Saccharomyces cerevisiae S288C: one gene and its partners. Each later gene encodes a partner of the first gene's protein in a complex. Each region holds a gene or a part of one and is shown on either strand. Other genes may lie near its edges. The genes, in order: IMG1, MRPL39, MRP7 and RML2.

Region 1 (6,348 bases):
TATTTCTTCCTCTTCGTCAATTCTCCAGCGCGTAATGATGTGCTGACATTGGTAATCACAATCTGAGATACAATCCCAGAACAATAACTTAGAGTACAAAGGCGGGGTATCGAAAAACTCAATATCATGAAACATGTTGGTTTCAGGGTCAATGTAGTTTATTTGGGAATTCGGACATCTTCTGTTATACTCGCACGCATACGTACAGTCTATAAACTCATCTAAATTATCTCCTGGAGAGCATGTCACTAGGAAACAGTGAACAAGTAGGGTCACAACCACAGCTAACCTCATATTTCTTGCCACACTTCTGTTTCTTTTCTCCCGAAGGGTATGGTTTCACACCTTAGGTTGCTCTTTTATTCGCTTTATGAAAAATGAAAAATGAAAAGTACAAGAATACGCAAGAGAAGAGCGAAAAAACTAATGTTGACATGACATTATGCAATAATTTATTTATGAGAGAAAGAGAAAAACACTACAAATTTTTCATAAAATCACGCCTCTTCAATCGAATCTCACCAAGAGGTAGTGTGACATCGTTATTCCAACCCCACAGTTTTGAACCAGATTGAAGATTCTCAGACATAGGAGTTTGTAAAGTGGCATTGTACTCCTCCAGTTCCTTAGCAATTGCCTCTATGTTCAATCGAGGGAACGTTTCGTCGTCATATGGATCGTCCAGTTTATCGACGCCGTTGTAAAGAATCTGGTTTGGCGTAGAAGGCTTGAAAAACAACGTTCTTCTATGGAAAACATTACGCGTGGACAAATACTCAATCTCCTGTGCTATCATTTCAGGCTCAATTCCCTTCGAGAGTAGGATCGCTGCAACTCCGGTGACAATGGGCGTCGACATAGATGTACCTGACAAAATTAAAGTGTCGTTGTAGTTCAGATGAGATAGCGACTCAATTTCCACGCCTGGGGCAAAGATGTTTACACAGGGCCCCCAATTGCTGAACTTGGCAATCGTGTCAATGTGGTCATCAAAGGCCCCTACGGTGATAACGTTTTCTGCAGACGCAGGTGAGGCCCAGTAGGCGTCTAAATTGAAGTTCCCCGCCGCGGCAACAAATACAATACCTTCTTCAATGGCCCCCTCCACTGCCATGTTGATTATGGGGCTCCTGAAACTCCCTAGACTTAGATTGGCCACGCATTTTTTACCCTGTGGGCGACTGACCTTTGTGCAATGTTCCACGATGAACTCCAGACCACTAAGAACGTTACTGGCCTCGCCAGACCCGTCTTTGCCCAAGACTTTGACCTCCACAAGATTGACCCTCTTTGCCGCTCCATACGTTTTGGAACCTACGAGTCCCGCCACGTGCGTTCCGTGGCCATTCTGGTCGCCAAACCCTTCTTTGGTCAAGTCAATCCCCTGGATGACTCTGTCTTCGAATTCCGGATGGTCCGCGAAGATACCCGTATCCATGATATAGGCGTTGACGTCTTGACCTTGATAGTCGTGTTCATAGTAGTAATTGAACCAGCTTTTGTAGCGGTCCTTGTCCCCAACGTCGAATGGGAGTTGGTAGTGGCGGGAAATCCGGGCCAAGTGACGGGGTGCGTCTGGTTGATACGTTATATTTTGCTCTTCCTCGACGTCTTCGTACGAGTATTTGGCGGTAGCGTTAAACGTATAACTCGACTCGGCGCTATTTACACTGTCGCCTTCAAAAGCTTCGAACCTGAAGTTGGGCACAATATCAGCCACCAGTGGGCTTTTCTTCAGCTTGTTCACTAAGTTCTTGGACAGGTTCATGGTCACGCCGCGGAAGGATCCGATGGAGAATTTCTTCTCAATTTTGTTGTCGATGAACTGTCTCCATGACCTGTTGGAATTCGAAGTGAATTGTTGGAATGCTGTGGGATTTTTGAACCTCACCAAATACTCCTCTGCGTATGCGAGGTTGACCAGCAAAGAGATGAGTATGCACTGTGGCTTCATGACCAGTGTTTTTTTGCTGTTTTTCTTGGCGGATGTTAGAGGATGTCTAGCACTTGAGTATACCTCTATATGCTGTGTAAAATAGAAAATAAAAAAGCCAATGAGAACAATATTTTGTGTCGTTTTTTTTATTTTCGCTTCAATTCTCTATACACGTACGTCATCACTACGGGAAACCAAAAAAAAAAAAAAGAAAACAGTACAAAAAGGTTTACTTTACCCATAGTTAGTATACGTAGATTTTATACACGCACTATTTTTCTTATATACAGGAGATGGGTGGCCACAGAACCCGCGCCTAGCCTATTTCTTTCTTCTTAGACCTGCCTCGAGGTCGCCGACATCCAACCTTGTACCTCTGATGTAGTAGTGTTTGTTTCTTTGTCTGCTCGAGACGTGGGGGGTTAGCAAGTCGATTCTCTCGATCAGCGGCGAAAACAATGGCACTCTAATCTCGACGGCCGTCTTGGCTATCTGGTTCCGCAACAGCAACGAGGCGTCTTGCACCAGTTGTTTGCGGTCTATGGAAAGGATGTAGCCAACAAAGGTGTCGTACGAGCACTTGGACGAGTCGTACACAATCCGGACCACGTCGCCTGCCTTCAAGCGGTCCTTGTTCTTTTTACTGATGAGCTTCCTCTTAACGGCCCCGGGATCCAGAGACTCTATTTCTGAGAGGGCCACCTGCTTCATAATCTGCGACGAAGCTATGCGCTGCACAGGTGGGTACACGGGGATGGTTTTTCTCTTGGTGGCGGGGACCATGTAGGACCTTGTCCATGATCCAAGCAATCTGACGTTCCTGCTCCACATCGCTATGGTTCTCTCTCCCTTTCAGCAGCTGCTCAGAGGGAAGACTCGATTCTTCTTCTTCTTCTTTACTGGGAGTTCCAAAGCACCAAAATTGAAAACCAAGAAAAAAAGGAAAATACATCACTACATAAAAGTGCGCGGAGCCATTGACCACTCACATACAGATATAAGTGTATATATACAAGTATACATATACAAGTATACATGTAGAAGGAGACAGAGACAGAGGGAAATGTATAAGTGTGTATTTTTATAGTATACAAAAGAATATGCGTGTGAGGATGTGTGTTTCTTCTAGAACCTGTGTCTTCTTTTCCTCCCGGTGAACTTGGAGTCCTTCGCAACTTTCCTCCCACGTCTTTTCATGAGCTCCTTCTTTCTTAGAATGAAACTCTTGGCAGACTCCTTGTCTTTGCCTCCCTTCAAGCGCTGGCGCAGTTGTTTCTTCAAGTTGACGTTCTCCTCGTCCATGGTCACACCGTCCAAATTCACCTGCTCCTCCCCCTGCGGTGGGGCCCCACTGCTCAACACAAGGTAGTACTTCTTATTCTTTTTAGACTCTGGGTCGTCCACCACAAGCCCGCCACTGAACCCTGCCACCTTGGCAGACTGCAGTATGTCGTCCACCTGGTCGTCGTTTTTCGGGTAGAACTGGGCCACAAATTTCCCTCCCTTCTTCAGTGCAGCATACAATGTGTTGAAAAACCTCATCAACCGCTGTTTAGGATCGTTGTATGAAGTGTCCGCATTGCACAGCCATTGGATCGCACTGATACTAATAGCCGCGTCAAACGAGCCCGCCCGGAACGGTATCCCGGTGCCCATATCCTGCAACATCAAGTCGCCCTCCAGCTCTCTACTAAGACCGGTCGCAAGCATGCTGGGCGATATATCCAAACCACACCACACATGGTCTCCCTCCTGCGTCAAAATCTCCCCAGACAGTCCGGACCCGCACCCGATATCCAGAATGAAACTGCACGGCTGCAGATTCAAAAGCTCCAACGCCCTCAGCGTCATCTTCGCCTGGATATGCTGCACTCTGGTCGAACCCGTGTACTTGTGTGCTTCGCTATCATTATAGAAAATCTCCGGTGGTGCCAACTCCTCAGGACGTGACATTATTTCTTCTCTGATATATTTCCTGTGTTTCCGTACCGCACCTTTTTAGCACTACTTTTTTACTATGCTCTTCTTCTTCTGCTTCTTCTGCTTTTTTCCTCTTTATCACACTATGTATGTGCTGCTCATCTCTTCTTTTTATCGATAAAATTGAAAAATGTGAGATGGTGTAGAGTGAAAAAAAAAAAAAAATCTGGCTTGGCCATCAAATACCCGGCCGTGGTTGGACTCGTTTAGCGAACAATAGCACCCAGCAGACCCTGGCAACATGCGGATGATATAAGAAGGACGAGCGTGGTGGAGGAAAGGGGCGCCATTGGCACACTCACGCAGGTGGTTGTTCAGCACGGCTTGCAGCAAGAGCGCCAAAACAGATTGCAAGAATGACGGAGACTAAGGATTTGTTGCAAGACGAAGAGTTTCTTAAGATCCGCAGACTCAATTCCGCAGAAGCCAACAAACGGCATTCGGTCACGTACGATAACGTGATCCTGCCACAGGAGTCCATGGAGGTTTCGCCACGGTCGTCTACCACGTCGCTGGTGGAGCCAGTGGAGTCGACTGAAGGAGTGGAGTCGACTGAGGCGGAACGTGTGGCAGGGAAGCAGGAGCAGGAGGAGGAGTACCCTGTGGACGCCCACATGCAAAAGTACCTTTCACACCTGAAGAGCAAGTCTCGGTCGAGGTTCCACCGAAAGGATGCTAGCAAGTATGTGTCGTTTTTTGGGGACGTGAGTTTTGATCCTCGCCCCACGCTCCTGGACAGCGCCATCAACGTGCCCTTCCAGACGACTTTCAAAGGTCCGGTGCTGGAGAAACAGCTCAAAAATTTACAGTTGACAAAGACCAAGACCAAGGCCACGGTGAAGACTACGGTGAAGACTACGGAGAAAACGGACAAGGCAGATGCCCCCCCAGGAGAAAAACTGGAGTCGAACTTTTCAGGGATCTACGTGTTCGCATGGATGTTCTTGGGCTGGATAGCCATCAGGTGCTGCACAGATTACTATGCGTCGTACGGCAGTGCATGGAATAAGCTGGAAATCGTGCAGTACATGACAACGGACTTGTTCACGATCGCAATGTTGGACTTGGCAATGTTCCTGTGCACTTTCTTCGTGGTTTTCGTGCACTGGCTGGTGAAAAAGCGGATCATCAACTGGAAGTGGACTGGGTTCGTTGCAGTGAGCATCTTCGAGTTGGCTTTCATCCCCGTGACGTTCCCCATTTACGTCTACTACTTTGATTTCAACTGGGTCACGAGAATCTTCCTGTTCCTGCACTCCGTGGTGTTTGTTATGAAGAGCCACTCGTTTGCCTTTTACAACGGGTATCTTTGGGACATAAAGCAGGAACTCGAGTACTCTTCCAAACAGTTGCAAAAATACAAGGAATCTTTGTCCCCAGAGACCCGCGAGATTCTGCAAAAAAGTTGCGACTTTTGCCTTTTCGAATTGAACTACCAGACCAAGGATAACGACTTCCCCAACAACATCAGTTGCAGCAATTTCTTCATGTTCTGTTTGTTCCCCGTCCTCGTGTACCAGATCAACTACCCAAGAACGTCGCGCATCAGATGGAGGTATGTGTTGGAGAAGGTGTGCGCCATCATTGGCACCATCTTCCTCATGATGGTCACGGCACAGTTCTTCATGCACCCGGTGGCCATGCGCTGTATCCAGTTCCACAACACGCCCACCTTCGGCGGCTGGATCCCCGCCACGCAAGAGTGGTTCCACCTGCTCTTCGACATGATTCCGGGCTTCACTGTTCTGTACATGCTCACGTTTTACATGATATGGGACGCTTTATTGAATTGCGTGGCGGAGTTGACCAGGTTTGCGGACAGATATTTCTACGGCGACTGGTGGAATTGCGTTTCGTTTGAAGAGTTTAGCAGAATCTGGAACGTCCCCGTTCACAAATTTTTACTAAGACACGTGTACCACAGCTCCATGGGCGCATTGCATTTGAGCAAGAGCCAAGCTACATTATTTACTTTTTTCTTGAGTGCCGTGTTCCACGAAATGGCCATGTTCGCCATTTTCAGAAGGGTTAGAGGATATCTGTTCATGTTCCAACTGTCGCAGTTTGTGTGGACTGCTTTGAGCAACACCAAGTTTCTACGGGCAAGACCGCAGTTGTCCAACGTTGTCTTTTCGTTTGGTGTCTGTTCAGGGCCCAGTATCATTATGACGTTGTACCTGACCTTATGAACTGCCACCATACCACGTGTGTCCCTCGCAAGCCCTTGATAGATATACAATAGGGAATGGGCGTCCGCTCCACCGTGGTCAAAGACAGGGGCAAAGAGCTCCTAGGTCTATATATATATCTATATACATATTTATATATATTATTAGAACTTTACAATATAGTATATACCATTCATTGTTTAAGTTTCGGGTAATACTTTTTTTTTCCTTGTCATAACCCCAAAAATTTTCGATGCCTTTGAT
Region 2 (6,015 bases), on another chromosome or scaffold:
ATCCAGAAGACCAACTTTTGCTCATAGAGCACCACCGCAATTATTTAATCCAACAATGGCTCTAAGATTAGACCAAGCTAACCTGTACAAAAGGGATGATCGCCACTTTACTTATAAGAATGAAGATTATATCGATGGTTATCTGTATAAGTCCTTCAGAATTCAACATGTGGAAACCAAAAATATTCAGCCAACTGTGGAGGAATTGGCAAGATTCGGTTCCAAAGAGGGCGCGGTAGATCTAACATCAGTTTCACAATCAATCAAGAAGGCTCAAGCTGCAAAGGTCACTTTCCAGCCAGGTGATCGTATCGAAGTTCTAAATGGTGAACAACGTGGTTCCAAGGGTATTGTAACAAGAACCACGAAAGATATTGCTACTATCAAACTAAATGGCTTTACAACGCCTCTAGAATTTCCTATCTCTACTCTGAGGAAAATTTTCGAACCTGGTGATCACGTTACTGTCATCAATGGTGAACATCAAGGTGATGCTGGTTTAGTTCTTATGGTAGAGCAAGGTCAAGTGACATTTATGTCAACTCAAACAAGCAGAGAAGTTACCATTACAGCAAATAATCTGTCCAAATCCATCGACACTACAGCTACATCAAGTGAATATGCGCTACATGACATAGTCGAATTGAGTGCTAAAAATGTTGCTTGTATTATTCAAGCTGGCCACGATATCTTCAAGGTTATTGATGAAACTGGTAAAGTGTCGACAATTACGAAGGGGTCTATCTTGAGTAAAATAAATACTGCTCGTGCACGCGTTTCTAGTGTCGATGCAAATGGTAATGAAATCAAAATTGGTGATACCATAGTAGAGAAAGTAGGTTCACGCAGAGAAGGTCAGGTCCTGTACATACAAACACAACAAATTTTTGTTGTTTCAAAGAAGATTGTTGAAAATGCAGGGGTTTTTGTTGTTAACCCTAGTAACGTTGAGGCCGTGGCATCCAAGGACAATATGTTAAGTAACAAAATGGATCTAAGTAAAATGAATCCAGAAATCATTTCTAAAATGGGACCTCCATCATCTAAGACATTCCAACAACCCATCCAGTCCAGAGGAGGTCGTGAAGTTGCACTCGGCAAAACAGTAAGAATTCGTTCTGCTGGTTACAAGGGTCAATTAGGTATTGTGAAAGATGTGAATGGTGATAAAGCTACTGTCGAATTACACTCGAAGAACAAACACATTACAATTGACAAGCATAAGTTAACATATTACAACCGTGAGGGAGGTGAAGGTATCACGTATGATGAATTGGTTAATAGACGTGGTAGAGTTCCACAGGCCAGAATGGGCCCAAGTTACGTCAGTGCCCCAAGAAACATGGCCACTGGCGGTATTGCAGCAGGTGCTGCGGCTACCTCTTCTGGTCTTAGCGGTGGTATGACACCAGGATGGAGCTCCTTCGATGGTGGCAAAACACCAGCTGTAAATGCGCATGGAGGCTCAGGTGGTGGCGGTGTCTCCTCATGGGGTGGTGCTTCCACTTGGGGTGGCCAAGGTAATGGAGGTGCATCCGCTTGGGGCGGTGCTGGCGGCGGTGCCTCAGCTTGGGGCGGCCAAGGTACTGGTGCTACTTCTACTTGGGGTGGTGCTTCAGCCTGGGGTAACAAATCAAGTTGGGGCGGTGCATCCACTTGGGCGTCGGGTGGTGAATCTAATGGTGCCATGTCTACTTGGGGTGGTACCGGTGATAGGTCAGCCTACGGCGGGGCTTCCACCTGGGGAGGAAATAACAATAATAAAAGTACAAGAGATGGCGGAGCTTCTGCATGGGGTAACCAAGACGATGGAAATAGGTCTGCTTGGAACAACCAAGGAAATAAGTCAAACTATGGTGGTAACAGTACATGGGGAGGTCATTAATCACCAAAAGGAGAACCAATATCACCCAAGAAGAAATCAATAAAAAAGACTTTAATATTACCACGTTAATAAGAATAGTTATGAAGATTTCGATGTTTCGATGAAATACTGAATCTCGATCTTTTTTTTTCATTTATGCTTGCATTTGTATGTCACGAGTTTTCCTTGATTCTAACTTTTACATATACGTATGTATGTATGTATGCATATGTGTTTTTGCATATCTAAATGAAATATCAACTTTATTATGAGGGAGTTGATTATTGTAATGTAATTTTATATAACTTCTTTTTCGTTAGCGGAATTTCTTTCCGTTTGAATCGTATACAAAATGTATGTATCCATTACTTATTTACAGGATAAATGAAAAAAAATGCGTAACGTCTGCGTATTCGATGGGCTTACATGCCGGGGCTCGTGCTTATTCATATTTCTTCACTTGGCTGTACGCAAGAAATCCAATGGCTTTCTTTCTGCCACTTTCCTTTTCTTTGCTTCTTTGAAAAGCACATGCCGTTTCACCACAGGATCGTATCTGACCTGAGTAACCAAAGGTGCACCTTTCTTAATCGAGATGTAACGAGAGTATCCACTTGCCGCTGTAGACAATAGCTTTATAACACTATTCTTAGATTTCACTTTTACCATATCGGCACATAAATATGGAAACAGTTACGATGTTGTATTCTTACTATCTTCCGCTGTAGGGGAGCAGTCAATACGTTTGTATGCAGTGAATTATAGTTTTTTCTTATTCTGATAGAAAATACTGGTCGTTTGCCACGACATGATGAAAAAAAAAAAAGCCGAACTTGAAAATCACAAGTGGGATAAATTGTGGGGTAGTAAAGGCATCGGACAGTCTGTTTGTAAGGCCTGCTAGCAATGAACGTGCTATCTTTTTATCTGCATATATAGGAAAATAGGTATATATCGTGCGCTTTATTTGAATCTTATTGATCTAGTGAATTTATTGAGTTGCTTCTTGGGAAGTTTGGGAGGGGGTTTCGGCGTTTTCTGGCTTCCTAGCGACGAAAAGCATCATTGGAGTGAATAACTTGGACTTACCACCGGCAACTAAACCAACCGCAGCATTTTCTAGAGCAGCAGTAACTTCCTTGGAACCTTCTGGGGCTAGACCTAATTTTTCCATTACAGTAACCATTGCTGTAGTAAATTGTCTACCCAAGTAAGAAGTTCTGAAAAATGTGGCCAAATTAGCTAAGTTTTGAACGTACTTCCACTCACCAGTTAATGGGTAATACCAAGGGATTTCATCATCATTGTCCGCCAGGTCTTCGCTAACGAGGACTTCGAAACCACAGTTCTTCAATGCTTTCCTAGCCACGTCGACATGGAACATCTTTGGGATACCATCACCTAGTTCAATTTCATAAGCGATCTTTCTATGTTCAGGATTGTTTTCGTCATATTTATCAGTCATTACCCATTCGTAAACAGCAAAGGTACCACCCGGTTTCAAAACCTTGTAGATTTCGCTGTATACACCTTCTAATTTTGGAGCGTGACATGTGGCCTCAATTGCATAAACTTTGTCGAAAGTGTTTTCTTCGAAATCCATTTTCATGAAATCACCCTTTACAAAGTCCATTTGGTCACTCAAATTGTATTTTTTAGCGTAATATTTTGCCTTGGCAATTTGGTAATCGTTATTGTTTAGACCGATGACGTTACAACCGGTAAATCTTGCAATCTCTCTTGCTGGGCCCCCAACACCACAACCAACGTCGAGAACTAAATCGCCTCTTTGAATACCAGCCTTGTAAGCTAAATAATGTTCATGTCTTGCTATCGAGGCAGCGAAACTCTCACCTTTATAAAATCTGCTGAAATGGAAAGAGGAACCCCAACCATATTCATAGAAATCTGTAACGACGTTATAGTAGGAATGTGTGGCTTCATTATAATCCTCAAGACGACGTTCTTCGGCATCTTTATCGGTTCTACCATCCCAATTTCTCAAGTACTTCTGAACGGCTTCCTTTTGGGCAGAGTTGTTCTTCGACATCAATGCACTCAAACCTGTCTTTTTACCAATATCATCACCATGTAACTCCCTAGTGAATTGGGCCTGTCTTTTTCTCAATTCTGTTTCACTCATCTTATGCTGCCTACTATATTATTATTTTATTCTTGTTTTTTTAAATTATGTAAAACTTAAATCGAAAGTAAAACAGATAAGGGAAACTTGAATGAAAATTAACAGCTTATAAATTACAAAGACGAATGGAAAGAAAAAGAGAGCAGCAGAGGATAGGAGAAAACACCCGAACTATATAAAAAGCAATGAAGAAGTTATCGGCAACAGCAAGTATTGGAGGTTTCTCACCAATCTTCGCATAAAACGCATGCTTCGTAAGGCGATAAAAATGAAGTGTACCATTGAGACGAAGTGGAGCAGTTTACAGTGAATAATACATTGTCTGCTCCTCACTTACTCTCGCTTCTCGAAAACTTTTTTGTATTTATCGGAAACGGCAGTAAACGACGCCAAAAATTGAAAATAAGTACGGGAACGAGGTACCATATACGAAGATCGGGGCTTTGTTCGGCCCTAAATTTTGCTGATCTTACCCTGTTGCATCTTTTCAAAAATAGTAACCAGCCCTAGCTGTTTGGTTGATTTGACCTAGGTTACTCTTTTCTTTTTCTGGGTGCGGGTAACAATTTGGGCCCCGCCAAAGCGCCGTCTTTGTCATGGGAACCGGAAACCCTCCGATGAAGAGTAGGAGGGTGGCAACTGATGGATGCGTAAGGTCTTAAGAGATACATTTGCTTAATAGTCTTCCGTTTACCGATTAAGCACAGTACCTTTACGTTATATATAGGATTGGTGTTTAGCTTTTTTTCCTGAGCCCCTGGTTGACTTGTGCATGAACACGAGCCATTTTTAGTTTGTTTAAGGGAAGTTTTTTGCCACCCAAAACGTTTAAAGAAGGAAAAGTTGTTTCTTAAACCATGAGTGTGTCTACCGCCAAGAGGTCGCTGGATGTCGTTTCTCCGGGTTCATTAGCGGAGTTTGAGGGTTCAAAATCTCGTCACGATGAAATAGAAAATGAACATAGACGTACTGGTACACGTGATGGCGAGGATAGCGAGCAACCGAAGAAGAAGGGTAGCAAAACTAGCAAAAAGCAAGATTTGGATCCTGAAACTAAGCAGAAGAGGACTGCCCAAAATCGGGCCGCTCAAAGAGCTTTTAGGGAACGTAAGGAGAGGAAGATGAAGGAATTGGAGAAGAAGGTACAAAGTTTAGAGAGTATTCAGCAGCAAAATGAAGTGGAAGCTACTTTTTTGAGGGACCAGTTAATCACTCTGGTGAATGAGTTAAAAAAATATAGACCAGAGACAAGAAATGACTCAAAAGTGCTGGAATATTTAGCAAGGCGAGATCCTAATTTGCATTTTTCAAAAAATAACGTTAACCACAGCAATAGCGAGCCAATTGACACACCCAATGATGACATACAAGAAAATGTTAAACAAAAGATGAATTTCACGTTTCAATATCCGCTTGATAACGACAACGACAACGACAACAGTAAAAATGTGGGGAAACAATTACCTTCACCAAATGATCCAAGTCATTCGGCTCCTATGCCTATAAATCAGACACAAAAGAAATTAAGTGACGCTACAGATTCCTCCAGCGCTACTTTGGATTCCCTTTCAAATAGTAACGATGTTCTTAATAACACACCAAACTCCTCCACTTCGATGGATTGGTTAGATAATGTAATATATACTAACAGGTTTGTGTCAGGTGATGATGGCAGCAATAGTAAAACTAAGAATTTAGACAGTAATATGTTTTCTAATGACTTTAATTTTGAAAACCAATTTGATGAACAAGTTTCGGAGTTTTGTTCGAAAATGAACCAGGTATGTGGAACAAGGCAATGTCCCATTCCCAAGAAACCCATCTCGGCTCTTGATAAAGAAGTTTTCGCGTCATCTTCTATACTAAGTTCAAATTCTCCTGCTTTAACAAATACTTGGGAATCACATTCTAATATTACAGATAATACTCCTGCTAATGTCATTGCTACTGATGCTACTAAATATGAAAATTCCTTCTCCGGTTTTGGCCGACTTGGTTTCGATATGAG
Region 3 (5,210 bases), on another chromosome or scaffold:
AAGATGGGACCATTAAAGTTTGGGATGTGCGTTCTCCGTCCATTCCTAGAAATTACAAACATAACGCACCAGTAAATGAAGTCGTAATTCATCCTAACCAAGGCGAGTTGATATCTTGTGATAGAGATGGTAATATAAGAATTTGGGACTTAGGAGAAAATCAGTGTACCCATCAATTGACACCTGAGGACGATACCTCTCTCCAGTCTTTATCTATGGCAAGTGATGGTTCGATGTTAGCGGCAGCAAATACTAAAGGTAATTGTTACGTATGGGAAATGCCAAATCATACTGACGCATCCCATCTAAAACCGGTAACAAAATTCAGAGCGCACTCCACATATATAACTAGAATTCTACTATCATCTGATGTAAAACATTTGGCAACATGTTCAGCGGATCACACTGCTCGTGTGTGGTCGATTGATGATGATTTTAAGCTAGAAACGACATTGGATGGCCACCAAAGGTGGGTTTGGGATTGCGCATTTAGTGCTGACAGTGCGTATCTAGTAACGGCATCGTCCGATCATTACGTGAGATTATGGGATTTATCAACTAGAGAAATTGTCAGACAGTACGGTGGACACCACAAGGGAGCTGTATGTGTCGCATTAAACGATGTATAGTTTACAATTTATCAACTACCAAGCTTGAAGGACCGAAGTGACAAAAAACATTATGATTTTCAGTGTTTGCTTATCCGCCTTTTTGTAAATATAGATTTTACTATCCTGTGCATTTTAGTTAATTGATTGTTCACAAAATGAAAGCAATCGCGATGCATATCATCAATGAAAGGAAGACGAGAATGTACAGTATAAACATATTCCCTTGCATGTAGCACTAAATTTTAAGTTTCGTGTAGACGAAAGGTTTAGCTACTTGCGCGACAAAATAGTAATATTTACAGGCATTCTTAAACATTTTATATGTGTACATACTGTGCGTAAGGAAAGAAAATCAAAGCTTGCTCAAAAAAGCCCGCCTACTTCTAGCAATGACTTCAACTTTATTTTTGGTGTAATCAAAACGTCTAGACACAATTGACTTCTTCCCGCTTTTGGTTTCAACCGTACTATCTGTTTCGGGGAAGACCGACTTTAAGTATTTCCTACGCAAATGTACTTCTTCAGATAAAGTCAAAAAATTACAAGCGTCCTTGAAAAGCGCCTTAATATAATTCTTGTCTTTTTTGGTTTCTAAGTGTTGGGATTTTTCTAGGTCCTCTAATAGTTTTGCCTTCAAAGCTTGTTTTTCTTGTTCCGAAATATACTGGTGTAGCTCTAGCTTGTTATTGAAAGATGTAGATGAGTTCAAAAGATCACTACACTCATCAATCTTGGATAGACTCTCCGACAATTTCTCATTCGTCCAGCTTTCTCTCCTTGCCTTCAAACGCTCTTCTTCTTTTAAATAATATCTACTATTGAACCTTGCATCTTCTATGGGGTATCCATTCTTCAGGGAAGCCCTTACACGAATTAAGTATGACGTTGCCAATTCGATGTCTTTTATATCTAACTTAAGTTCATCCCGAAGAACCTTACTCAACTTGTCTTGTAACTCCTTTCTTTTAGATTCCCTGACCTCTAACTGCTTCAAAATATTAGGTTTTGCGAGATAGTCTTTTCTAGAAATAGAATTTTCTTCCTTATATGCTGCCCTTTTATTTGTTAACTCAAAACGGCCAAACCTCCTTACGGTAGGCTCAAAATGAGGAGATGGCAGTTTCAAATCACGCCTCAAGGCAACACCAATGAATTTTCTTTTAGGATGAAAAGGATCAAGATAGTAACGAACAACACCAGGTTCTAAGGCGAATATGGAATGATCTTTCCCTATACCAACGTTTTCTCCAGGATAAAACTTTGTTCCTCTTTGCCTCATAATAATTTCACCTGTGGAAACATCCTGGCCTTCATATTTTTTTGGTCCTAACCTTCTTCCTGCAGAATCCTTCATACTTGTTCTCGAGCCCGCAGCCCTTTTGGTGGCATTACGCACTTGAAGGAACACACCAGACACATGTTTTTGGAATGAAAAACTAGAAGTATCTAGTAAAATAGGATTCCACATATTCTCACCTTAGGTTAAGCTTGAAATATTATGACCACCCAAACTGGCGAGTTTTATTTTTACAATGAGCCAACTTCATTCTTCAGTGAACTATCTTGAATGAGTCTCCAAAGAAAGAGCTTTAAAATTCAATAGCGGAACGTCAGATATCGAAACACCCAGTCATAACAGCCAAATTTGCATAATTGGTATAAAAACAGTGTGTATAACATTACAGAGAAGCCGTTGTGTGAAAATCTTTTTAGTACCTATTCAACCAAACAATTGAACTTGAACACCAAACTCTAGCCATCCTTATCCTCTTCTGGTCACTACATATACCTCAATTTACGTCTTTCCTTGGGTCGTTTCAAATGACTCTCTTTGTTTAGCGAGGGAAATGAAAAAGTAGAGTACTGGCTGAAAAATTTCATAATTATGTTTGCTCATGAGTTCGAAAACAGTTTGAATGAGCAGATAGAACGCCAAATATTAAGTTAACAGGATATGTCTGATCAAGAACGAGGTTCAGAAAACGTATGTTTCATTGATAAGGGAGGTGAAGAAAAGTTTGTAAAATGAGACTTTATGAGGTCATTGGAATTAAATAGACATCAACGAATGGTGAGTCACCATTTAATGCTGCCTTCAAAACGCTTGCTTCAATGTGATTCCACTGGTTAAAGGGGGTTTTTTGAATGCATTGCTAATGTTTATCTACTGGCTATGAAAGTGAGAATATCAATTATAAATAAAACCCTGATTTTCTACCTGCCATGCTATAATGTACAGTTTATTCCAACTTTGAAACGCAATGACTTATTGGTCTCTCTCATTATGAAATTTAGTTACTTTTACTAATGTTATTCATTGTTGTAGAATAATCGAAGTAGATCGAGGTCGAGATCACCTGTTCGTCGTCGGATGAGTGATGATCATGGTTATGAAAGAGACAACCATTTGTCCCGGAGGTCAGGTAATTATAACGGTAGGCGTAAGTTCGCAGATACGTACAGAGGAAGCAGAGATAGAGGAGAATATAGAGGAGGTAGAGAAAGGTCTGATTACAGAGAAAGAGAAAGGTTCAATAACAGAGATAATCCTAGATCTAGAGACCGTTACGATGATAGGCGCAGAGGAAGAGATGTGACTGGTCGTTATGGGAACAGACGTGATGACTATCCTAGAAGCTTTAGGAGTAGACACAATACACGTGATGACAGTAGGAGAGGCGGTTTTGGTAGTAGTGGAGCAAGAGGTGATTACGGTCCTTTGTTGGCACGTGAATTGGATAGTACATACGAAGAAAAGGTCAATAGAAACTATTCCAATAGTATATTCGTGGGTAATTTAACATATGACAGCACCCCCGAAGATCTCACTGAGTTTTTTTCACAGATAGGAAAAGTAGTCCGCGCGGATATAATTACATCAAGAGGGCACCACAGAGGTATGGGTACAGTAGAGTTCACTAATTCGGATGATGTTGACAGGGCCATCCGCCAGTACGATGGGGCCTTCTTCATGGATCGTAAAATCTTCGTCAGGCAAGATAATCCACCACCGTCAAACAATATCAAGGAAAGGAAAGCACTCGATAGAGGAGAGCTTAGACATAACCGAAAAACACATGAAGTTATTGTAAAAAATTTACCTGCTTCCGTTAATTGGCAGGCTTTGAAAGACATATTCAAGGAATGTGGGAATGTCGCACACGCTGATGTGGAATTGGATGGCGATGGAGTATCCACTGGATCTGGTACGGTGTCCTTTTATGATATTAAAGATCTGCATAGAGCGATTGAGAAATACAACGGTTATAGTATAGAGGGTAACGTCTTGGATGTCAAGTCTAAGGAAAGCGTACATAACCACAGTGATGGAGACGATGTTGATATCCCAATGGATGATTCTCCCGTTAACGAAGAAGCTCGAAAATTTACCGAAAACGTTGTCGGTGGAGGTGAAAGAAATAGACTCATATATTGCAGTAATTTGCCATTTTCAACTGCAAAAAGTGATCTTTACGACCTTTTCGAGACAATCGGAAAGGTTAACAATGCTGAATTAAGGTATGATTCCAAAGGGGCACCAACTGGAATAGCTGTCGTTGAATACGATAACGTCGATGATGCAGATGTTTGTATTGAAAGATTGAATAATTATAACTATGGGGGTTGTGATTTGGATATATCGTACGCTAAACGCCTCTAGAACTACTCTCGATCTATATACTTTCTCACCTATTGGATCTGCGACAAGTATTTATTCATTCTTGACTTATTTCCAGGCTTTTTAACTTTATAATGTCATTGTGTATACGTATAATCTGAAAAAATTTCGAAGACTTTGAAGAAGACTGTGAAAAGAGTCTGATTTTTCCAATACAGTGAAAATGGGTTTAACAAATATCCAAAAAAGTACTTTGAACAGATATCGTAAATAGACGACTTTTTTATATGAATAACAAAAAATAAACAACAGACAAGAGGCCTCAGAAGGCTTACGTAAAGTACGTAAACGATCTACCTCTTACAACTGGTAGTTGCTTTTGCTCTATGTTTTCATTACGCTCTCATTTCTCCAGCCGTTGGGAAACTTTTCGATAATAACGAATGAACAGTTTCATACATGCCTAGGAAGATAGCACCACCTGCACTGATCCACATTGTCCGGGGCCCCACTCCACTGAAAAATACAGCAGGACCTTCCTCTCTGTAAATCCTAATAATAACGCTTCCAAGTGAGGCGGTTGTTTTGTTGAGCATTAATCTGGTTTTCAAGAAATCTAATGGTGTCGTTGTAGCTGCTGCGATCCCACCCGCAATAGAACCGCAGATAGCCCCTTTCCATGGCTCCACTTGACTTTGGCCATTGGCTTTTGCCCAAGTCTTTTTTAGATACTCGTATAAAGGAAACTGTATACAAGTAAACGGTATTTCTCTCATAATGGTGGTAGACCACCCTCTATAAAGATTTTTCCTTAAACCTTCCTTATTGTCATTTCGTAGAATTGACTGTAAAGTCTGCCAGGAAGAATTGGTAGAGTGAACTTGCGTCCTTTGCTTAACGACTTCTGCGGGAACTCGAACAAGACAAGCACAAATTTCACCAATGGAAGAGGAAAGCATGTGCGTTGTCGTATCAATCAA
Region 4 (6,985 bases), on another chromosome or scaffold:
GAACTAAGGTTATCTTCTTGAATTCGCCAACAGATTACCGTAAGATTCCAAGACCTGTGTCCTCAGTTTACTATTTCCCATCCGATACGAGCATAAAATACGCATCAAAGGAATGTAAAACCCGTCGAGAAACTCATATTAAGGAATGGTATAACTATTTCGCACAGGCTTCCCACACCGATGATTCCACTGATTCACACACGGTGCATAAGACATTTTATGATTATCCATTAACTATTTGGGGGAGAGAGTTCAAAGTCCCTAAGTGTACCCCACCTCGAGTCGCGCAGTTTACTTTCAAGCAGTTGTGTGGTGAGCCTTTGGCCGCAGGAGATTACTTGACGTTGGCAAAAAATTTTGAAGCCTTTATAGTGACCGATATTCCATATTTGTCCATTTACGTTCGTGATGAAGTGAGAAGATTTATTACATTTTTAGATGCTGTATATGACAGTGGCGGGAAACTGGCCACTACGGGTGCAGCGGATTTTTCTTCCTTGTTTGTGGAACCTGAACAGATACTTAATGATTTTGAGTTACGCCCAACAACCAAAGAACCTGATAGCGTCGATACTGGTATGGTAGATGAGATGGTTGAGAAACACGGTTTTTCGAAAGAGATTGCCAAGAAATCGCAGATGTTTGCTCTTGATGAAGAAAGATTTGCCTTTGCCCGTGCCTTAAGCAGGCTGTCACAGATGAGCTCCACCGATTGGGTTACTAAGCCTACATACTAAACCCTATGTAACAAAAGTGTTTATTTATATTCTTGTATTTATTCTAAACACGAACTTTGATCGTCTAACAATTGCCGCAGTTACACCTTTAACAATAGTGCTTTTTATTACTGATATTACTCACCTGATTTTTTGTTACCCGAATGCAAATTTGATTAGGAACGGGGATTGTTAAAAGACAATGGCAGTACAGATAAAGGTTAGATGAAGCAGCAGTAGAATAAATCAGCATCTGTAGTACATAGGTTCCTAACAGCATTGTGAAAAAGGTTCAAAAATGTCTGGTAATAGAGAGCAAGTCTTTCCTACGCGTATGACGCTGGGTTTGATGAAGACCAAGTTAAAAGGTGCCAACCAAGGTTATTCTTTACTAAAGCGTAAGTCTGAAGCCCTAACAAAGAGATTCAGAGATATTACCAAAAGAATTGATGATGCTAAGCAAAAGATGGGGAGAGTTATGCAAACTGCTGCCTTTTCCTTGGCCGAAGTTTCCTATGCAACAGGTGAAAACATTGGCTATCAAGTGCAAGAAAGTGTCTCTACTGCAAGATTCAAAGTGAGAGCACGTCAAGAAAACGTTAGTGGTGTGTATTTGTCTCAATTTGAGTCCTACATCGACCCTGAAATTAATGATTTCAGATTAACTGGTTTAGGTAGAGGTGGTCAACAGGTTCAACGAGCCAAGGAAATCTATTCAAGAGCCGTTGAAACTTTAGTTGAATTAGCCTCTTTACAGACTGCATTTATTATTTTGGATGAAGTGATTAAAGTGACGAACAGAAGGGTTAATGCTATCGAACACGTTATTATCCCAAGAACTGAAAACACAATTGCTTACATTAACAGTGAGTTGGATGAGTTGGACAGAGAAGAATTTTATAGATTGAAAAAGGTCCAAGAAAAGAAGCAAAATGAGACTGCAAAATTGGATGCTGAGATGAAATTGAAGAGAGATAGAGCAGAACAAGATGCTTCAGAAGTAGCTGCTGATGAGGAACCTCAAGGTGAAACATTGGTTGCTGATCAAGAAGACGATGTTATATTCTGAAGTTTCAGGCAGAACAAGACCCTTTTCAAAAATATGTAAGCCATTATTAAAAAAAAGGATATTTTGTATAATTGTTTAATAAAATAACATCTTTTTAAACAATCATAAATAGCACTTCTTATCATACAACCTCAAATCATATCGGTCCAAATTTGCTCAAATTGTACATGAGATATAACTTTTTCTTCTAATGCTTTCATTTCAGAGTTTGTTTTTTTTTTTTCTTTTTTTTTTTTTTCCTTACCGGAGTCTGAATCTCTTACTTCCTTAACTTAGATGTTAGTGACTAAAATCTGATGGACAGTATCAAAATGTAAATATTGTACCTAAAAAGAAAAAAGTATTAAAGTGGTTTGCCATAAATTTTAAACAAGTGAAAAGTTTCAATATTTATATTTACATGATTGTGGACAAGCGGCATTGTCTACAGGCTGTGCAAAATTATATAGTACAGATAAATGTAACCAGAACAACGAAGAAAAGGTCCCTATGTTGCTTCTTTTCTACTAAAATTAGCCTATTTATAATCTTGCATCTTTGCCTCTTGGTCTGTCTTTTACTTTCATTCTATTTTGATTTTTACCCCTTCTAGTCTTGTACCCCTTTGCCAGTTGTCCCCATGGAGACATTGATAATTTATTAGACTTGGATTTACCACGGCCACCACCGTGAGGATGGTCACATTTATTCATGGCAACACCTCTAACAGTGGGTCTTATCCCTAACCATCTTGATCTGCCGGCTTTACCAAGAGATCTGTTTTGATGGTCAATATTGGAGACCACGCCAATGGTAGCGACAGCCTCTAAAGACACATAACGATGTTCACCGCTTTGTAATCTAACAATAGCTTTCTTTTTTTCAGGTAATTTCGCAAGGACTCTGGCATATGTACCAGCAGAGCGACAAAATTTTCCAGGTCCAACGGGTGTTATGCCAACGTTGTGAATAATAGTACCTATGGGGATCATGGAAATAGGTAGACAGTTGCCTCTTTGGGTAGTCTTAACACTCAAGATAGCAGGGTCTACTTTCCCGCCCATTTCATTCAGTAAAGTTTGAGGAATACCTCTTCTGAAGGATTCGACCACATCGCCTGGGCGTAACCCATCACAAGCAATAATATAAGACAATTCGCCGGTAGTATTATGCTTCAATAGGGCGATATGAGAGGATCTACCCGGATCGTACTCAATCCTTTGCACCGTTTGTGCACCACCTTCCCATCTGTTAAAGTCTATCAGCCTCGTTCTATTTCTATGGCCACCACCTTGGTGACGGACAGTGATTTTTCCTGAATTATTTCTACCACCGTGCTTCTTTCGAACAACAGTTAGGGCTCTAACCGGACGACCTTTGTACAAATATGGATAAATGGGGGAACGGTACCATCTCAAACCAGGTGAGACGGGTTTTAGCCTCTTCATCTGGGTCACTTCTTTCGAAAGTTTACGACGTCTTTTAATCAATTCATCCTGCTTCTCAAGAGTCACGATATCAGTATCGTTAGGTATAATCTTTAGTAATCGTGGAGTAATGTTCAAACTGGAGTCATCTTTTGAAGTATTCTCTTGCCACAATTTAACACTCTGAGATAGAGTTCGACAGAGTATACCGTATGGATAACAAGGGTTTCTCTTACTAATAAGCGATGCTGTGGAACTGCACGACAGCGCCGATCTAAGAGACCCTAGCACCAACATCTTTCATAAACACTTAAATTATCTTCTCTGCGTATTTCTGGACTAGTTTACAACGTTCTCTTTTGCTTAGTTAGAACTCGCTTTCAGTTTCCCATACGTTCCCTTTCTCTTTCAATTATAGGTTCAAGCCCTAACTTTCCACCTCGCGTAGTCTTTTTTTTGCATGGAAAATTTTTTTTGAGTATTTAAAGAACAGAGGTTCTATTCAAATTTAACCGTAGAATATACTTATTCATCTTAAATACCAAGCGCTTCAACCTGTACGTGGATGGTAACATATAGATATTTCTATAGAATGTGTTAAGGAACAGGAGTTCCTGACAAACAAAAATAGATCGTACTAATACTTTTTTTTTCGAACTATACTGTTTGCGTATGCTTATAAAGCCAAGAGGGGGATGTTTGTGTATTACTTTCTTTACTTTTTTCTCTTCTGCATTATTGTTCCTTTAGAGATGATAAAGACAACTTACAAGTACAGTTTTTTGTTGGTATCTCATTAACATGATGACTAAGTTGTCGCCCCAAGCGGATCTTTGAAATGACTGATTTTACAAACAACAAACACTGAAAATTCTGAAATTAATGAGATATTTACACATTAAACATCAAAAGTTTTCTCAAGGAACATGTATTTAATGCAAGAAAAGGATTGCTGAAGAAAGGAATCTTTTCTCAAACATTTTACCTCTTTTGCCTCATTTGTACACAGCGGTACGGTTGGATTAAGAAAAATATCCATTCGACCTAGTTTTTTTTGTTAAGCACAATTTGGTTTCAATATCAATTCTTACTGTTATATAAAAAATTGTCTTAATTGCCATTATCACTCCTCTTTTTTTTTTTTTTTGATGATGATTACACTCCATGCTAATCATGAACGTGTTCGATGTAAATTTGAATACGATGATTAAAATTGTTGTTTACGCTTTCTGAAATCTAAACTAGAAAAGAAAAGGAACTATCAAAGAATTAGGCTCTTCGTATTGGAATTAGTTGACAGTTGCTCATGAAATGAATGGATTAAAAAAATAAAGCTGCGCAAGCCCGGAATCGAACCGGGGGCCCAACGATGGCAACGTTGGATTTTACCACTAAACCACTTGCGCTTACTATTTGTTGTTATTCAAAAAATAAAGAACCCACAGAACATAGATTAGAACATAACCTTGGAGTATCAACTTGATTCACAAAATATTATTCGTCGTATATCATGGCATATAGAATCTTGCTGGAATAAGAAGCAAGTTTCATCTTTGATCTTATGTATATAGTATTAATATGTATTATTGTTGGAATAAAGATCAACTATCATCTACTAACTAGTATTTACGTTACTAGTATATTATCATATACGGTGTTAGAAGATGACGCAAATGATGAGAAATAGTCATCTAAATTAGTGGAAGCTGAAACGCAAGGATTGATAATGTAATAGGATCAATGAATATTAACATATAAAATGATGATAATAATATTTATAGAATTGTGTAGAATTGCAGATTCCCTTTTATGGATTCCTAAATCCTCGAGGAGAACTTCTAGTACATTCTACATACCTAATATTATTGCCTTATTAAAAATGGAATCCCAACAATTATCTCAAAATTCACCCACTCTTCAATTATCATATAGGACAGAATTAGTTGACAAAAAGTACGATGGGAAACAGCTATCAAATTTAAAGGAAGCTGAAATGCAAGAATTAATAATGTAATAGGGTAGCGAACGACAAAGTATAAAAGGAAGGAGGATGAAGTTACATAATTATGTAGCACTATCGACTTCCTTTTGGGCATTTCTATAATCTCGAGGAAATCTTCTAGTATATCCTGTATACCTAATATTATTGCCTTCAACACAGACGGAATCCCAACAATTATCTCAAAATTCACCCATTTTTCACTCTCAAATCTGAATCTAAGTAAATAGTGGCAGTGAAATCCGGATCAAAATTCAGTAACTTTTGTGATATCTCACATTGACATACCACGGTCGGAGGTGAATTTCTTCACCATTAACATATAATATGATCATCTATGTAAATTTTATTGCTGTTATTCTATTAGTAGTAATGATCGAAAATAGTAGAGGTATCAACGAGGTCAATGGATCAAAGAATGCCTTGAACCTGGTTAGTCTATAAATTTTCGTTTACCTACGTATGTCATATTCAACGTTCTTTCTTTCTCAATTTCTGCAATGATCCCACCGGAGTATATGAACGAACTATTTTATCATTATAGCTAGCTCTAAACGGCTGCAAAAACTAATTCCTTGAAACAATGTGCCATTAATTATCTAACGCGTGCTTCGTCCTACTGATTATTATCCCTTATTCGTTTGATTCACATAGTAGACAACTCTTGATCACCCATATAGTACCAGACGACGCTAATTCAAAATTAATCGACATTACGCATGTTTCTAATTTGGGAAAAAAAGGCCAAGCTCCGATATCCCGTTTAAGGTCAACGCTTGAACAGTGGTTTCTGAACGAACACTCATATCATATTACTTCGACTCAACTGCTGAGCTAGCAGACTGGAAATATTTCAGGGACTCAAAAAAGGTTCAACTAGTCTCCACTGTAAGCACATTCTTGCATTCTGAATATACGAATGAGTATCATTAACTCAAAACCGCGCCCTCTTATACGAGACCTCCAAAAATGGATCGTTCATGAGTAAAGGCATCTCAATAACAATAGCAATAACAATAATGTTCATGAGGTGAAAGGTGGCCCCTCGTTCATGTAAGAGAAGCTGGCCGAGAAATTCATATAAATTGAACTGCTTTGGTTACCTCTCTTTGGTATATGCCTCCACTCTTCTCTTCCTAGTTAAGCTTATATCAGCACAAACAAAACAAATAAAATGGTCAAATTAACTTCAATTGCCGCTGGTGTTGCCGCCATCGCTGCTACTGCTTCCGCAACCACCACTCTAGCTCAATCTGACGAAAGAGTCAACTTGGTTGAATTGGGTGTCTACGTATCTGATATCAGAGCTCATTTGGCTCAATACTACTCTTTCCAAGCTGCTCACCCAACTGAAACCTACCCAATTGAAGTTGCTGAGGCCGTTTTCAACTACGGTGACTTCACCACCATGTTGACTGGTATTGCCCCAGACCAAGTGACCAGAATGATCACCGGTGTTCCATGGTACTCCAGCAGATTAAAGCCAGCCATTTCCAGTGCTCTATCCAAGGACGGTATCTACACTATCGCAAACTAGAGACAAACGCCAATTTAATGAAGGAAATGCTATGAAACTTAGATAATGAAATAAAAAAAAACCCTTTTTTTTTTTTTGGTAGTATAAATATCTTTATACGTACATACGTGAACAATCACATCATATCTGTCAATTCTCGTTGTAACCATAACCTAGCACTTATTTCAGACTTTCCAAAGGTCGCAGTATCTTTATGACGAGCCATCCCATGTAAAAATTGCCGTGCCGGATATGAAGTGACAAAGATCAGTCTATATC

The links.
Region 2: IMG1 (region 1) and MRPL39 share a complex: the UniProt entries of both Saccharomyces cerevisiae proteins name them as parts of the mitochondrial large ribosomal subunit.
Region 3: IMG1 (region 1) and MRP7 share a complex: the UniProt entries of both Saccharomyces cerevisiae proteins name them as parts of the mitochondrial large ribosomal subunit.
Region 4: IMG1 (region 1) and RML2 share a complex: the UniProt entries of both Saccharomyces cerevisiae proteins name them as parts of the mitochondrial large ribosomal subunit.

The regions. Positions count from the first base shown.
Region 1 is NC_001135.5:207,657-214,004, forward strand, and holds IMG1 (mitochondrial 54S ribosomal protein bL19m IMG1), read right to left. Parts: upstream 2,768-6,348; coding exon 2,258-2,767; downstream 1-2,257. Other genes in the region: PER1 (Per1p), read right to left, coding at 1-294; RRT12 (Rrt12p), read right to left, coding at 479-1,954; BUD23 (18S rRNA (guanine1575-N7)-methyltransferase), read right to left, coding at 3,062-3,889; ARE1 (sterol acyltransferase), read left to right, coding at 4,273-6,105; YCR050C (uncharacterized protein), read right to left, coding at 5,808-6,116. UniProt on the Saccharomyces cerevisiae protein: Component of the mitochondrial ribosome (mitoribosome), a dedicated translation machinery responsible for the synthesis of mitochondrial genome-encoded proteins, including at least some of the essential transmembrane subunits of the mitochondrial respiratory chain.
Region 2 is NC_001145.3:248,984-254,998, forward strand, and holds MRPL39 (mitochondrial 54S ribosomal protein bL33m MRPL39), read right to left. Parts: upstream 2,534-6,015; coding exon 2,321-2,533; downstream 1-2,320. Other genes in the region: transcription elongation factor SPT5, read left to right, coding at 1-1,885; ERG6 (sterol 24-C-methyltransferase), read right to left, coding at 2,856-4,007; MIN4 (Min4p), read right to left, coding at 4,179-4,289; DNA-binding transcription factor YAP1, read left to right, coding at 4,865-6,015. UniProt on the Saccharomyces cerevisiae protein: Component of the mitochondrial ribosome (mitoribosome), a dedicated translation machinery responsible for the synthesis of mitochondrial genome-encoded proteins, including at least some of the essential transmembrane subunits of the mitochondrial respiratory chain.
Region 3 is NC_001146.8:620,350-625,559, forward strand, and holds MRP7 (mitochondrial 54S ribosomal protein bL27m MRP7), read right to left. Parts: upstream 2,080-5,210; coding exon 964-2,079; downstream 1-963. Other genes in the region: TOR complex subunit LST8, read left to right, coding at 1-629; HRB1 (mRNA-binding protein), read left to right, coding at 2,566-2,595, 2,938-4,272; PET8 (Pet8p), read right to left, coding at 4,626-5,210. UniProt on the Saccharomyces cerevisiae protein: Component of the mitochondrial ribosome (mitoribosome), a dedicated translation machinery responsible for the synthesis of mitochondrial genome-encoded proteins, including at least some of the essential transmembrane subunits of the mitochondrial respiratory chain.
Region 4 is NC_001137.3:57,364-64,348, forward strand, and holds RML2 (mitochondrial 54S ribosomal protein uL2m RML2), read right to left. Parts: upstream 3,489-6,985; coding exon 2,307-3,488; downstream 1-2,306. Other genes in the region: AFG1 (Afg1p), read left to right, coding at 1-737; VMA8 (H(+)-transporting V1 sector ATPase subunit D), read left to right, coding at 1,015-1,785; seripauperin PAU2, read left to right, coding at 6,365-6,727. UniProt on the Saccharomyces cerevisiae protein: Component of the mitochondrial ribosome (mitoribosome), a dedicated translation machinery responsible for the synthesis of mitochondrial genome-encoded proteins, including at least some of the essential transmembrane subunits of the mitochondrial respiratory chain.